2 linked regions of the Sus scrofa genome follow. The protein of the gene in region 2 purifies or fractionates together with the protein of the main gene of each other region. This does not show direct contact. Links are inferred from orthologs where the notes say so. Each region holds a gene or a part of one and is shown on either strand. Other genes may lie near its edges. The genes, in order: CFLAR and tumor necrosis factor receptor superfamily member 10B-like.

The links.
Region 1: the proteins of tumor necrosis factor receptor superfamily member 10B-like (region 2) and CFLAR purify together in Homo sapiens (affinity purification with western blotting, with the first as the bait; 5 studies listed by BioGRID). This does not show direct contact. The link is inferred for Sus scrofa from reciprocal best matches to the Homo sapiens genes TNFRSF10B and CFLAR.

The regions. Positions count from the first base shown.
Region 1 is NC_010457.5:104,813,000-104,816,823, reverse strand, and holds part of CFLAR (CASP8 and FADD-like apoptosis regulator), read right to left. Parts: intron 2,510-3,824; coding exon 2,460-2,509; intron 1,784-2,459; coding exon 1,702-1,783; intron 1-1,701. UniProt on the Homo sapiens protein: Apoptosis regulator protein which may function as a crucial link between cell survival and cell death pathways in mammalian cells. Acts as an inhibitor of TNFRSF6 mediated apoptosis.
Region 2 is NC_010456.5:7,258,261-7,261,039, reverse strand, and holds part of tumor necrosis factor receptor superfamily member 10B-like, read left to right. Parts: exon of another isoform or gene 1-119; intron 120-696; coding exon 697-1,010; 3' UTR 1,011-2,779. UniProt on the Homo sapiens protein: Receptor for the cytotoxic ligand TNFSF10/TRAIL. The adapter molecule FADD recruits caspase-8 to the activated receptor.

The sequences.
Region 1 (3,824 bases), on a different chromosome or scaffold from region 2:
GCCCCAGATAACAATCTAGGACCCAACAAAGCCAAGATTCAAACCCACACAGTTGTATTCTAGGGCTCAACTCCGATCACGACTCTCTAATGCAGAAAAATACAAATACCCATTCAGTCCCTGCTAGCAAGAGGCCCATCACTCAGCGAGGGAAGCAAACACAGACACTGGATTTTAACCACAAATTCACAGGTTTTATCTGTGTGATTCTCTTCACACAACAGATATACACCCTGGACCAAGTCCAGTTGGAAACTTTCTGCTAAAAATATGAAACGGAACTGATTACAGCTGATTACCACTGAAAAAGGATAATTACACAATCTCTTTTAGGGAAGGAAGTTACTCATTGAGGAAACATTTTCTCATCTTCATATGGATACTTTTTTTCTCTTTGTTTTTATTAGTCAATGAATTTATCACATCTGTAGTTGCATAATGATCATCACAATTCAATTTCACAGGATTTCCAACCCACAACCCAAGCACATCCCCCCACCCCCCTTTATATGGATACTTAATAGCTAAAACAGAAAGGACAAATCTTCCATTTCAACTCTGCCTCAACTGTTTTTAAAAAAAATAAATAAATAAATAAAGGACGCATCTATTGCTTAGGAGATAGCAGTTTTCACATCTAACCATATATAGGACATGACAAAATGAGATCACATCCGAAATCCTGGGAAATTCAGCCTAATATTTGCTAATTTGACCTCTCTTAGTTTCTCTTTCCATTAAACTCACAGTGGTAACATTTTAAGTGAGCCTCAAAGACAGCTCTGACTCATTCTAAGAGAATGCTGAGAAGATGCAAAACGGTAGAAATATAACAATCAATCCTTTCAAGCAAGAGATAAATAATTAAACCAAATGCACTCATCTAGGCTCTTCTCATTCTCTTTTGATGCATCACCAGTGACTGATTCAGTTCCAGTCAGACATCCAACAATGACCACACAAAACAATCAACTCAGAGCCAAACAATGGGGACCCACAGGTAAGTACAGGCTCAGGCCAATAACAAAAGTCCAGGGTGGCAGAACTAAGGGACATCTTGCCTCTAAGCGAACACAAATGTGTCCTATTTTCAATCTTCCCCAGAAAGCTTTCAGAGTCAATCTAGGCAAAACTAGGGGGCATCTGATGATACTTAAGCCCAGAAAACCTTCCATTTTAAAGTCCCACAGCTCCTACCTGCCAGAGCATCTGGCATGGAAAGACAGGACTAAAGTTCACAACTTTCACAAAGTAGACCTTTGTGCCAGAGACAATACTACGTGGTTCCCCAACTCCCTTTCATTTTCCTCCTGACACACTGCTTGACCAAGTTCCTGGTCTGCTCCGGTTGGGTGGGGCACAGGGGTGAGTTCAGACCAAAGTAATGTGGGTAGAGCTGATGCATATCACTGTCTGGCCTGTCCCTAAAGTCTTGTGAGATCCTCGCACACTTCCTTCATCCACCAGCCAGACACAAAGGATCCAGTGGAAAACTCCAAGACCACAGATGCTGAAGCCCCTGAATGAGCACATGAAACAGAGCTCCCCAGCCCCATCCATGCTGGACTGTGACATGCGTGAGAAACTACCCTTCATGTGTGAAACCACATTCCAGCAGTGGTTTGGTGCAGCGGCTAGTGTTGGTCACTCTGAGGACGGCAGCCATCAATCCATCAATCCATCCGGTACAACCGCACCTACCTGTGTCATTGCCAACGCAATCAATTATCAGGCAGATTCCTAGGGGCTTGCTCTGCATCTTATATCTCTCTTCCGGTACATGCTGGAAAGGAAAGCAGCGATTGTTAAAGACTCTAAGCATTGTTCTGTTTCCTCGAGGTCCCCCCCCGTATCATCTCTACTTTTGGATTTCCTTGAATTTCCCTTTGGCAGGTGAGTCACTCAATAGACACAGGCTGAAGTCAGCACAGCTGACATTTCCCTTTAACATCAACAAGCTATTTCAGTTCTGATTTCATTTTAATGAAAAGTGCAGTCTCTTTTACACATGTCTTAGCTTTGTGGAGTAAAGATAATTTAAAACACAGAGAAAAGATAGGTCATATGTTTCCACAGTAACCGAATGTTGGACAAGTAAAATCTTTCCTAACCAGTACAAAAGGCCTTCTATTGCCTCTCCTTACAGAGAAGAGGTACCAGCAGAAGAAAAAGTCAGAACAAGTCAAGGTTGAGTGTCACCACCTACTTATACATTCAAGCAAATCTCAGCTAAGAAAAATTCTACTTTTGAATGTTCACTAATGCAATCCACTTCAACATCGCTCTCTTTGTTACATCCAAGGTTCCCCTTCAGAACAGAAGCGTTCCCAGAATAGCCCTCTCAGTGTCCTATTGTTGTCACAAAGAATACTTAATGGACAGCTATTTTTAAAGCCTCAGTGTTCACCATAGATACCGTGCTTACAATACAATACCAAGTCAGATCATTTATTCTGTACCTGAAGCAAAAATGCCCCAGATTCTTGAATGGATGTCTTCACTGGGTCTCCTGGGGGATGAGAGAGAAAATCCATTTAAAAAAGCTGAAGGAGAGCGAGGCTTGCTCCCATGCTGGCTGAGCTTACGTCACAGCTGTTCTCTTTCCCTATTTTCTTCCCCCTCTTATCGCTTCTGTCCCCAGCTATATTCAGCCCCGAGCTTCCAACCTCACCCTGAAAAACCTAATTGATAAGAAAACACAAGTCCCCCTGCTTAACAGGGGTTATGTAGAAAAACTACTTAAATAGACATGAAAGAAGGCCTTTCTCCAGGTGAGGACCAGGTGACTGGTGAGTTTTTAACCTGACAGGGAGAATCTAATGAACTTACCAACCAACAATACCAATAGCTTTACTGCATGTGCTGAAACGGTGGACAGCGCCTCTAGGGACTAGCCTTACAGACCCAGAGAGGGGAAAGCTTTTGTGGGTTTTCCACTTACAGACCAGATGGCCATGTTTTCTTAGTCCAGTGATGTTTGGAGATCATGTAATAAAACATCAAAGGCAAGATAAGGGACAGTGGGCTTAGCAAATGTAGTTGAGCCTTATCTCCTTGTTAAATAAAAAATGACTTTATTAGCCCCTGGGGAGGTAGAGAAATCATCAGTTTTGAAGCCATAAAGAGCTGGGTGAAACCCTAGCACTGTTACCAACAAGTTCTGTGATCTTGGGCAAGTTTCCTCTTCAAGTCTCAGAGTTTTGAGGGGTTTTGTTTTGTTTTCAATCTGAGACAAACATCTAATTTATATGATTGTTGCAAAAATGAGAAATAATGTCTAAAGACAGGCAAAGAAAATGTTAGTATCGGTAAGGTTTGGGAGAAATAAGCACTTGCAAATCTAATGCTATGTAAGGTGAAACAGTTTTATTTATTTATTTATTTTGGTCTTTTTGTCTTTTTAGGGCCACACCCATGGCATATGGAGGTTCCCAGGCTAGGGGTTGAATTAGAGCTGTAACTGACAGCCTACACCGCAGCTCATGGCAAAGCTGGATCCTTAACCCACTGAGCAAGGCCAGGGATCGAACCCACATCCTCATGGATGTTAGTTGGGTTCGTTAACCCCTGAGCCATGACGGGAACTCTGAAACAGTTTTTAAAGGACATTTAGCCTTTAAACCAATATTCTGCTGCTAGAAGTTTGTCCTAAGGAAATAATAGAACAAGTGTGCAAAAATGTCAAGGATATCTACTGAATGACTGTTTGTAATGGCCCTAAGCTAGAAAGAACCTAAATGTCTACCAACACGAAACTAGGTGAATAAATTATGGCACATATGATGGAATACTACACAATGTTAACAAGGATAAGAGAGCTCTTC
Region 2 (2,779 bases):
CGTTTTGGAATGTATTGAGTCCGTGCCATATTTTATGGAAATTAGTATAACTTGTTAACATTTTACGTTTTCCAGCGTAGCTGTGAGAGAATATGAACTTCCTTCAGCGGCCACCTTAGGTACCTATGCACAGTGGTGTGCACTGCGTTGCACACGCTTGCCCTGCATCCCCAGTACAGTCCCACGAGGCGGGCGGCCTCGGCTCCACCTCACATGTTAGCGTCTGTTTGTCCCCATCCAGCTCAGGAAGGCCGAGCTGAGTGTGAAGCCAGAGACCTTCCAAGCTCCAGGCCTTGCTGGGGCCCCAGTGCAGCTGGGGGCCCTGAGTCTCACGAGAGGGGCAGGTGCCACCCTGAGTCTCCTGAGAGGGGCAGGTGGCCCCCTCTGCCTCCTGCCACTACTGCCTTCTCCCTCCATGACGTCCGTTTCCCCTCCCCGGTGGGCCCTTCTCCCTCACTTAGGACAGGATTCTCTGGTGACCTTGACTCCCTACGGTGTCCTGGGGACATAGGGGGCCCAGGCAGCGTGTGGCCTGATTTCTCTGTGGCTGGGAAGCAGGTCAGGGATGCAGAGCAGCAGCTGCCTCAGCAGGGGGAGCTCTTCAGGTCCCGCCCTGGGGTCCAGGCCTGCCCGAGGGTCCTCTGCCCTTTCTGAAGCTGGTCCCAACCTTCTCTCTGTGACTTTCCCCCAACCTAGGCTTGAGGCAGTGCTTTGATGACTTTTCCAACATCGTGCCTTGTGATTGCTGGGACAAACTCATGAGAAAGATGGGCCTCAACCAAAATGAGATCCTTCAGAGCAGAGATCGCGCCCGGAACACCGGGGATGCCTTGTATGAGATGCTGGAGACCTGGGTCCGCCGCAAAGGGCGGGAGGCCTCAGTCAACGACCTCCTCGATGCCTTGGAAGCACTGGGGCAAAGATCCGCAAAGGAGGAAATTGAGGACAAGCTTGTGGACTCAGGAAAATTCGTCTTCAAAGAAAGTGAAGCTGGTGCTGCTGTGTCCTGAGTGTAAAAGGATCTCTTTATGAAACCACAGCTTCCCTACTTTATGTTTTTTGCTGGAAAGGGAAGCATGATTAGATACCAGCTTGAAAGAAACATCAGGTACTTGGACCAAATACTTGAATGAAGTCTACCTTCGGATATATGCCACACTTGTAAAGTTCTAGAACTTTTTGGTTAAACTAGAGTAATTTTTGAGAAATGTCATTGATAAGCGATGGTGGAAACATTTATGAATATGTGCGTGAATTTACTGAGAGCTGATTTAGGATATCATTCTGTTCAGGACACTCTTATCCTAACAGAATTGCACTTTTTACTTGTACTTTTTATAATGTGAGTTCCATTTGGATTGATATGCTTATTCTTAATTGTCTAACTGTACTATGATATTTTATGATATACATTTGTCTATTTTTATATTTTTGTACGTATTTGTATAAATGCACAAAACTTTTTGGAAATGCACTTACTCGGTTGCCTGCATGAGTTCCTAAAATAGGAGCAAGCAACAATAACAAAAGAAACCCAAAGAAGGAAGAGGAAAAAGCCCATCGCTTTAGGAGGCATCATTGAGTTCAGTTCTCCCTCATATGGGAGTTTAACTTGTCTAGGAGTAGATAACCAACTTTTAAAGTGTCCATCATTTCCAACTGATTATTTTATAGATATGGGATTATTTATATTATTTATTGGTAAATGTTTACAAATGAGCAGAGAGTGGGTCTGTTATACACAGGCTTTATTATGTTGAGGTATGTTTCTTCTATGTCCATTTAGCAGAGAGCTTTTTAAATTATCATTATAAATGGATGTTGAATTTTGTCACAATCTTCTGCATCTGTTTTGATGATCATATGGTTTTTATGCTTCAGTTTGCTGATGTGCTATACTATATGGGTTGATTCGCAGATATTGGAAAAATCCTTGCATTCCTGGGATAAATCCCACGTAATCATGGTATAGATTCTTTTGATGTATTGCTGGATTTGGTTTGCTGATATTTTGTTGAGGAGTTTTGCACATATGTTCATCGGTGATATTGGATGGCAATTTTCTCTTTTCGATGATATCTTCGTCTGGATTTGGTATCAGTTTGATGCTGGCCTCGTAGAATGAGTTCAGAAGTGTTCCTTCCTCTACAATTCTCTGGGATATTTTGAGAAAGATAGGTGTTAATTCTCACGATGTTTGGTGGAATTATTCTGTGAAGGCTCGTTGGGGTTTTTTTTTTATTATTTGGTTTGTGGGTTTATTATTATCATTGTTATTATTACTGATTCAATTTTGGCTGGTCCCAGAAGAGGGTCTGAGAACAGTTTGGGGCCACAGCCTGTAGGATTGTGAGGTTTTTTGCACTTAGTGTCTGCCCCCTGCCCTCTGGAGGCTGTCCAGAGGCTGGTGTAGGCTTCCTGGAGGGCAGGGCCTGTGCCTGCCCACTGGGGAGTAGAGCTGGGTCTTGGCCTGCTGGTGGGTAGTGCCAAGGCTTGGGTGGCTCTGCAAAGTCTTTAGGCAGTCTCTCTGCTGATGGGTGGGGCTGTGTCCCAGTTCAGTTAGTTGTTTGGCTTGAGGCATCCCAGCACTGGTGCCTAAAGCAGTTGCGGGGGGAGGCAGGTCTTGGGAGTTAAGAGGGAGGATCCCACAATGGTGCCAGCCAGCACCAGTGTCCACCAGTAGGAGCTCCAAAGTATGGCTGCTACCAGTATATATGTCCCCAGGGTGCGCTGCACCCATGCCTTTCCTCTCTGGTACACTAAGCAGCAAGTAGGTCGG